Oryctolagus cuniculus: one gene and its partners. The protein of the gene in region 2 binds, or shares a complex with, the protein of the main gene of each other region. Links are inferred from orthologs where the notes say so. Each region holds a gene or a part of one and is shown on either strand. Other genes may lie near its edges. The genes, in order: THOC1, CHTOP and THOC7.

Evidence for each region.
Region 1: CHTOP (region 2) and THOC1 share a complex: the UniProt entries of both Homo sapiens proteins name them as parts of the transcription/export (TREX) complex. The link is inferred for Oryctolagus cuniculus from reciprocal best matches to the Homo sapiens genes CHTOP and THOC1.
Region 3: CHTOP (region 2) and THOC7 share a complex: the UniProt entries of both Homo sapiens proteins name them as parts of the transcription/export (TREX) complex. The link is inferred for Oryctolagus cuniculus from reciprocal best matches to the Homo sapiens genes CHTOP and THOC7.

The regions. Positions count from the first base shown.
Region 1 is NC_091441.1:56,785,840-56,788,699, reverse strand, and holds the end of THOC1 (THO complex subunit 1), read left to right. Parts: intron 1-535; coding exon 536-683; intron 684-1,409; coding exon 1,410-1,485; intron 1,486-1,891; coding exon 1,892-2,187; 3' UTR 2,188-2,291; downstream 2,292-2,860. UniProt on the Homo sapiens protein: Component of the THO subcomplex of the TREX complex which is thought to couple mRNA transcription, processing and nuclear export, and which specifically associates with spliced mRNA and not with unspliced pre-mRNA.
Region 2 is NC_091438.1:44,664,991-44,668,652, reverse strand, and holds the end of CHTOP (chromatin target of PRMT1 protein), read left to right. Parts: intron 1-574; coding exon 575-712; intron 713-2,347; coding exon 2,348-2,553; 3' UTR 2,554-3,561; downstream 3,562-3,662. UniProt on the Homo sapiens protein: Plays an important role in the ligand-dependent activation of estrogen receptor target genes. May play a role in the silencing of fetal globin genes.
Region 3 is NC_091441.1:85,869,414-85,872,159, forward strand, and holds the end of THOC7 (THO complex subunit 7), read left to right. Parts: intron 1-606; coding exon 607-673; intron 674-762; coding exon 763-832; intron 833-1,870; coding exon 1,871-1,938; 3' UTR 1,939-2,202; downstream 2,203-2,746. UniProt on the Homo sapiens protein: Component of the THO subcomplex of the TREX complex which is thought to couple mRNA transcription, processing and nuclear export, and which specifically associates with spliced mRNA and not with unspliced pre-mRNA.

The DNA of each region.
Region 1 (2,860 bases), on a different chromosome or scaffold from region 2:
TTATTACCATTTATTAGAGATGGTCAAGTAAGTAGAATGCTACTCTGAATTTGCGGGTGTGGGAGATAAACTCATAAATGGAGTTAGAGCTTTGGCTTCCTCTGCAGTTCCGCTGCTTCTGGAGCAGTATCTTCAGACTGTCTGGAACCACCTGCTGCTGCTGGGCTTTAGTAGGGACGTTCATGGCTGTTCTTGCCAGCTCTGTGTTGGCTGTTACTTTTAGTATTTGAACCATTTTTATTCTTTCAAGTGGGCATTAATGCAAGTTAAAGCTTACATGTTATAAATAGAAAAACCAAATAAAATATATGTAAACATTTTAAATGTGCTTGCGTCTGAGGCTGACTCTTCATGCAGTTGGTTTCTATTACGTACATGTGCCCTGCATACAGAGATGGTCTTTAGGAGTTGGACAGAATGACAAGAATGGCTGCTTTGCTCTGTTTACCTTACAGATGTCATGTGGCAGAATTAAATAGAAGAGAATATACAAATAGAAAACACTAAGTTATACAATTGACATCTCTCTTTGTAGGGCTGTGAACAATTCAAATTACGGTTGGAGAGCCCTGAGACTGTTAGCGCGAAGAAGCCCTCATTTCTTCCAGCCAACCAACCAGCAGTTTAAAAGTTTGCCAGAATATCTTGAGAACATGGTAATAAAGCTAGCCAAGGAATTGCCAGTAAGTAATTTAGATTGTCTCGTACTCTGTAGTTGACGTCATCTTTTTAAAAACTGTCACTGTGTGAGCAAAGAAATGAGCAAAATTTGAGATTTGTTTATCATGTCAAAAATAGCAATGCACAAACTTCCCTGTTTAGAATGAAAAAAATAATTTGAATATGTACACTTCCAGGAAATAAAGTAGCTGATAGTTTTCTGTAGCACGTAACTTAATACAAGTCTACAATATTTTAGGTAAGCTATTTATCCAGCCATTAAACTCACACATGAATGTTTCCCATTTGCCGTTATTGTCTTTCATCAAAAACAGGGGCTAAGGGTAGAAAATAGAGAATTTGCCCTTTGTTCCTGTTCTCTTTTCCAATACAGTTTTCTAACCATATTACAGCATGGATTACCATTAGATAATACCATATGACTGAAATCTAATAAAATTTTCAAAAAATGTTAAGGACACTGTGGCTCTCCGGCCTTCTCTACCAAACCTTTAGTCTCTGCACATCAGCTTCCCATGCTTTTCACTGCCTCCCTTCAGTGCAGGCTGGGGACAGGGGGAAATCTTCCTACCTGTAATCCTCACCTGATATTCACATTTAGCACTCCTGAGGGTAAGGTACTGGGGTCCTGTACTTAAGAGTCTCAAACCTCTGTTTATTTAAAAAGCATCTTCAGTTATCTTACTTCACAAGGTAGTATTCTTTTAAACATCTTTTCTCATTTTTAGCCTCCTTCTGAAGAAATAAAAACAGGTGAAGATGAAGATGAGGAAGATAATGATGCTTTACTGAAGGAAAATGAAAGTAAGAATTCAGTTTTCTTAGTTATTTTACAAAATTGGAAAAGACTGGGGTTCTTTATGGGGAAGTAGGTTTATTTCATCCAAACCACTTCTCAACTTCTGCCTCTTTATCTCAGTACTGTCTTCTGATAGGAATTAACAACAAAAAATACTACATTTTTGCAATAAAATTTGGAAGTGATGGTATTTTTAATGTAGAGAAGTGGAGTTGTAACTGATAACTACTGGAGGGGGACAGCTGTTGATAATAATCATGATCATAAGAGCAGTATTCACCCATGGAAAATGTGAAAAAAGTTATGTTACAAGAAAGCTTACTAAAAGTGGTAATTCAGTGGCCCCATAGCTGTCCAGTTCTGCTGTATAGTGTCCTTTACATGTATTATACAATAATCTCTCTTTTCTAGGTCCTGATGTTCGGCGAGACAAACCTGTAACAGGGGAACAAATAGAGATATTTGCCAACAAGCTCGGTGAACAATGGAAGATTCTGGCTCCCTACTTGGAAATGAAAGACTCAGAAATTAGGCAGATTGAGTGTGACAGTGAAGATGTGAAGATGAGAGCTAGGCAGCTCCTAGTTGCCTGGCAAGATCAAGAGGGAGTGCATGCAACACCAGAGAATCTGATTAACGCTCTGAACAAGTCTGGATTAAGTGACCTTGCAGAAAGTCTAACTAATGACAATGAGACAAATAGTTAGCTTCTTTTTTCTTTTTTTATTAAAACTGTGATAAGATTTTGTTACCAAGCAGCATTTGATAAGAGGTCCACTGGTTTTGGTAAACAATAAACATTTTTATAACAGTTGTTGTACAGTTGGCTGGTGCTCCAAGAACCATAGAACACACATTGGCTCAAACCTCAGGGTTGGAGGGGGTTGGGAATGGGAAAAATGACCAAAATGAGGTGACCTCAAGATCACAAAATATATTTTTGTTAAATGTATTTGTAATGAAGTTAAGTGATATTTAAGGATATGTTGTTTCATACACCAAATTAGTTTCCTGCACCCTATTAGTTATAAAATGTAGGGCTCTGAAATCCCCGATTAACACCTTCTGAAACCAAGACCACTCTATTCCACTTTATTCATGCTTTACAGCACAAACTGAGCAAATGATCTGTTCACTTCATGTTTTTATAATTAAAATTGTATTGGCACTCACTGTGCCTAATCCTGTTGGCCATGGTCCCTGCTGCCCTACAACACTAAGTATTTGCAACAGACAGACACCTATGGCCTGTAAAGCCTCAAATATATACCATCTGGCCCATTACAGAAAATGTTTGCCAACTCCCACCTTTAAAAACCTTACTCTTCTAACCTTAAAAAGATGTCTTAAGTCTACCTCAGAGATTATGAAGTTCAAATG
Region 2 (3,662 bases):
ACAACAGGTAATTCATGTCATCTCCATTCCATTTTAAAACACCGTGCTGCTGCTTGAATCAAAAAGCACATTGATGTTCTAGAAATAAGTCAAATGTAAGAACTTTGTTGGTCTTTTGACCTATATCTTAACCAACCATCTCTGCTCCTGGTGCTGGTGAAAAACTACTGTATCTGGAAGAGAGGACAAGTTGACCCATAGCATTTAACTTGTATCTTATGTTTTGGGCAGTATTATACTGCCATGTATAGTTTTTCATTCCTACAAGAATGTATTAAGAGCAGGAACCGTTTATTTTAAATCTATAATGCTAGGCATCTATCTGATTATTCAGTAAATATGTATTAAATGTATGTACTTACTACCAACTTCTTCCAAAAATGGATTTGTGGTCAGACTTGTTGAATTGATTAAAGAGCAGCTTTTTAATCTGCTCACATTGTGTGTAGTTTGCCCCACCCAACCTAAAAATTAACTCAATTACTCATTTAACCCTCACTGCCTTCCTTTGGTCAGAATCTACTTTGTCTCTCTTGGATTTACCTGCATATACATTGTGTGCCTCCTCTCCAAGGTCAAAACCTGCTCCGAGGTGGACGAGCCGTAGCTCCCCGAATGGGCTTAAGAAGAGGTGGTGTTCGAGGTCGTGGAGGTCCTGGGAGAGGGGGCCTAGGGCGTGGAGCTATGGGTCGTGGCGGAATCGGTGGTAGAGGTTAGTCAGCTACCAACTTCAGAGAGTAGCTCCCTTTTATTTTCCTCCCTTAAAAACTCAGAGCCACCTTTCTGCACAGCTTCAAGTCGTAGACAGGCTTGTATGTTTGTCTTGTTTTGTTTTTTGAAACTGGCTTATTTTCCAAATTCACATGCTGGTAGTGCAAAAATCTGTCATTTTTCCAAGAACCAGTCAGGTGTGTATTAGCCAGATTATATGTAGTCTTCCAGACTCTTGCAGATGTAAATTTTATTATAAAAATGACTAAATAGTTTGGGATCTTTTCTGTCTCTGCTGAATCATCACCACACACACACACCCCTCATAGCTCAAAACACCAGCTTGAGTCAGATAAGAATAGAGAAGAGGGAGATGTGCAAATATGAAGGCAGAGTGAGGTAGACTTGGAGCCGGGCACTGTCTCTGAAGCCAAGTTCAGCATGCCTGTGGGGAACCCTAGATGCCTCTTTCTGATCAAGGTGGACAGTAAGATGATACTCTTGTCAGTGAACTCACTGGCTCTTGATGATTATACCTTTGAGAAACTTGGTGATACTTGTTTTGTGACCTCATGACCCAGATTGGAAAAGCTTAGTGGTGGTGATGGTGTTACTGCCAAATCTCATGGGAGCTTTCTGACTTAGCTTAATGAAACACTCCCAACAACACCTGTAGGGGAAGGGGAGACCTGTTCTTATGGTCCCTTGTTTATATTCCTTTGGTCCTTTTAAAGTGTGTGGTGGGTCTTCCATAATTTATGACCATGAAGCTGCCAAGGAATATTAACTGTAGGAAATCTGATAACCAAGGGCTTGTTTGCTTTCCCATTATGTGCTACTTGGCTTATTGAGTGAATTGCAAAGGAGTTTGAGTTTCGGGATGAAATACCATGTTTCTAGAATTATCTTGATTTGGTTTCTGAGAGACATCACAGGGGTGGCAGAGACTAAAGTAGCTTTTCAAAAAAGCGAGTGTGCTTTGTTAAGTGAATTGAAACCACCTCTCAAATAGCCACATTGTCCTAAGGTGACTAGAATCAGAGGTAGACGGGGCTAGGACCATTCAAAATGTTTTTTTCCATCTTCTCACATTATTCCTGTGTCAAAATAACTCCTCAGTCTCCTGACACATGGGGAAGTCAGCTTGTTAGACCTCACTAAGTTTAAAGAGAGATGAGATCATTTTCCTGAAGGGTCTCCAGTAAAGCTTCATTTGGAAACTATCTGCCTTCACACCCTTGATTCTCTGTGCCCTTTCACTTTCTTTCTGTCTCGCTATATGGGGTTATCTCTAATGGATTTCAGTAATGAACTGATAGTGAGGTCTCAAACTTTAGGTTATTCTTTGTCTTAGGAAAGATTAATTTTTTTAATTATTATAATTGGCAGCTATTTTCCCTTTGATCGGATAATATTTTAAGTAGCATTTAGAGATGAGCATGTAATAAGGAATTCATTATGTGTGCTTTCCATGTGTTGCTTTCTATCCAGTGTGTGTGTGTTTCCAGATTTCTCCTTTACCCTGCCCTTCAGCTTTTCTCAGCTAGGCTCCACTACTCTTAGGGGCATTTACTATAGCATTCATTAAGCCTAATTGTAACTCTTGTTTTTGTTTTTGTTTTTTTCCTCGGGCCAGGTCGGGGTATGATAGGTCGGGGAAGAGGGGGCTTTGGAGGCCGAGGCCGAGGCCGTGGACGAGGGAGAGGTGCCCTTACTCGCCCCGTATTGACGAAGGAGCAGCTGGACAACCAGTTGGATGCATACATGTCGAAAACTAAAGGACACCTGGATGCCGAGTTGGATGCCTACATGGCGCAGACAGATCCTGAAACCAATGATTGAAGCCTGCCCACCGTTGTGTGAGAGACTCTTACTAAAATCACCACATCTGTAAATAACCTTGAGATAACAGTTGAAAAGAAACCTGATTGATGCTGGAAGGACCTATCATAATAGGCTATGGACTTAACCTACCACCAGTTGTGCATTTAGTGTGTTCCTTTGACTTTTTGATACTGTGTTGTATGAAACCCTTTTTCTCTTGATTTGGTTGGGCTTTGCTTTTTTTCTTTGTTGTTGTTTCCTTCGCAGACTTCTCTTTGAACATGAATGTGTTGGCCTTACGGCTAGGATACCCTCTTCCTACCTCTGCCTCCCTTCACCTGCCATATACTCTAATCTTCATTTCCTCGGTTCATCTGTGTTCCCTCACAAAAAAGTCCTAGAAAGAGCCACTGTTCCTCCCTAATGCCTAGGTTTCTGAGATTAAGTTCTGTATAATAACCTCTTAGAAGTGTTCAGAACATCTGGAGCTCAGAAATGTGTTGATGATGCAGTATACAGTGTAGTAAATTGGGAACACTGACATTGCCAAGGGCCAAAAAACAGTTTATAGATGGTAGAAGCTCAAGTTTGATTGAAGTTGCTACCATGTGCAGTAACACGTGTGGTAACTAGGCTTGCTGGGTTGGGTAAGATCCTTTCTACCCACAAATGAGATTTATACACTCTCCTCTTGGCTTTGTATTTCCCAAGGGATTGAGCTGGTTTAACTCCTTCATATAGAAGAAGAAAGCCATTTGGTTTGGCCAGTGCGTCAGAAGGTACGGGGATGGAAGAGCAGTGGCAGACTAATTGCTGGGAGGATCAGAAAATAATACCTGGGCTGAAAAGCAATTAGTCTCGTGTTTATTCCAAACCAGTCTTGGGTTTCTCCACTCACTGATTCTGTCTGAACTCCTCTCATTTCCCTTGAACGTTTAAGTAATTTCAACCATAGTCTGTCAACTGTTCCAGGTTCTGTGAAATCTTGTGTATTTCTGATTCATTATAACAAACTGTTCTCTCAAATCCAGCCAGGATTTTCTCTTATTTGTTGGGCTCCTCAAAATGCTGTGGCTACTTTAATGATGTCTTGGTGTATGTACCCTACCCCTAGTTTCATTGAGAGG
Region 3 (2,746 bases), on a different chromosome or scaffold from region 2:
AATTTAAAAGGGTAAATTAGATATATGTATATATAAACTGTCAAAGCACAGATCTTAAAACATTAGTGAAAAAAATAAGACATGCAATAAATTGTAGATTATTCCTAAGTTTGTGAAACACAGATAGTAAACATTTATAAAAATTAAATCATCTCAAAACACTTTATGTGTAATATTTGGTATATTAATGCTGTAAATTATTCATGAATTAAATATATACATTAAAAAGCATTATATTTAATAAGGTTGCATAACTAGGGCTAGAGAAGAAAAAAGGACCTGGAAGAGAAGACTGGGGGTAAGGTTCAAAGAGCTACCAGCAGTATCTTATATCTTTATAGAAAAAAAAAATGGCAGTATGTGAAAATGTATCAGTTCTTGGAATTTGTTATTTTCTGTTTCCTTGAATTTTTCAAAATTTGTCCAAATTGTAAATAATAAAAAGGAGTTAAGAAGAAATAATCCTCAGCTTTGAAAATCTTGTTAGAGTAGATTGTTAAACTTCTTATCCATTTGTTATTTTTGAAAGTACTATTTAGTAACTAGAAATTTGGTATTAAATGTAAATTCTGTTCCTTCAATTGGCAAACTATAACTTTTTTTCAGGGAACTAGAGTCTCTGGGAAAAGAATTAGAGCATCTTTCACACATTAAAGAAAGTGTTGAAGATAAGGTATTTATTTACATATTATGTTAGCCTTTGTGATACATATATGCTTATAATACATCAATTTGCAAAATTTTATTTTCTTGTTAACACAGCTTGAATTGAGACGTAAACAGTTTCACGTTCTTCTTAGTACCATCCATGAACTTCAGCAAACATTGGAAAGTAAGTAGAATAATCTCAAAATGAATGCTTATGAAAACTCTGTGTTAATACAGGGAGATGCCTTTTGAAATATGCATTTTGGGGGCCAATGTTGTGGCATAGTGCTGGGATCCCTGTGGTCTTCATTTCAAGTTCTGGCGGCTCCACTTCCCAATCCAGCTCCCTGCTATTGTGCCTGGGAAAGCAGCTGAAGATGGCCCAAGTGCTGGGGCTCCTACTTACATGGGAGACCCGGAAGAAGCTCCCGGCTTCTGGCATTGGCCTGGCACAGCCTCTGCTGTTGCAGCCATTTGGGGAGTGAACCAGTAGATGGAAGATTTCTTTCTCTGTTCTCTCTCTCTCTCTCTCTCTCTCTCTCTGTGTAACTCTGACTTTCAGATAAATAAAAGAAATATGCATTGTGAAGAGAGTATATCTTACATTTCTGAATAGGAGAATAGCTGGATAATGTTAGCAGGCATCCATGCTGTTTAGCTTCATAAAGTTATGCAGAAAAGCCTTACTTTATACTAATACATGACTTAAATATATGACATAGCTTAAGAAAAATTTAATGATGATGAGTTTAAAATTTTTCTTGGTTATTATAGTTTATTACTATAAAGAAATGATTCAAAACCCTGATAAGCAAGGTAAGTATTCAGTATATAAGAATATTTGCATACCCATTGATTGAATGGTGAGTGCCTTTGGGAACTATAGATGTGCTGTTTATATTTTCTGTAGCCAACTGGAAATTACCCTATTACCTGATCTTCTGATAGTTTTGAGGAGCCTAAGACTTGGATTTTTTGGGGGAAAATTTGGTAGAGAATCTAGCGTGCAGATTTTGCATTTTGATTCAACTAATCAACAACAACCCATACAATTTTAAAAACGAAACACTTCATGTGGGCTGATTATAGATACAAGCTAACTTTTCACTATTTTTGCTTTAAGTGTGTTGGCTAATAAAGGATAACAGTGTTCTCATATATTCACTAGAGACAAAATTTGGGCAAATTTGACTAAGGTTGTATGTTTCTTTCTCAATTACAGATGATGAAAAGCTCTCAGAGGTAGAAGAAGCTCAAGAAACAAGTATGGAAGCCAACCCTAAGCCATAGATGGGCTAATCACTCATCATTCCTAGGAATATTAAGATCACTACATGATCCTCGTGTGCTTAGAAATTGTTGTGCTCATGAGATAGTTAATGTTTTGGCAATGAGATACTTTGTTTTAAATGTTAATGTACATTTCATTCATATTTCTTTACACAAGGAAAATGCCTTCACTGTGGATTTGGTTTTGTTGAAATGCTTGTTTTTTATTATTAAAAGTTAGGAAGCAGCATCCCAAAATGTTTAATAAAATGTTTTCAAGCTGAATTTGTTTGTGCTTCTTACTATGTTAGTATCTAGTAGCACTGATAACTGCTAACATTTTAACTGGTAGCATCTATTGGCTTACAAAGTTAAGTTAAAGATTGTGAGACATTGACATTTCTAGGATCTTCACGAGAAAATGAGTCCATTTCTGGAAATTATTACCACTTTTTTTTTAAATATTTAGACATCAGAATGTCTTTGATATAGAAATCAACAAACAACAAATGCTGATGAGGGTGTGGGGGAAAAAAGGTACCCTAATCCACTGTTGGTGGGAATGTAAACTGGTACAGCCACTGTGGAAGACAGTATGGAGATACCTCAGAAAGCTGAATACAGATGTACCATATGACCCAGTCATCCCTCTCCTGGGAATTTACCCAAGGGAAATGAATTCAGCATATGAAAGAGTTATCTGTATCCCCATGTTTATGGCAGCTCAATTTACATCTAAGATATGGAATCAACCCAAATGCCCATCAACTGAAGACTGGATGAAGAGATTATGGGATATGTACACCATGGAATACTACATAGTGGTAAA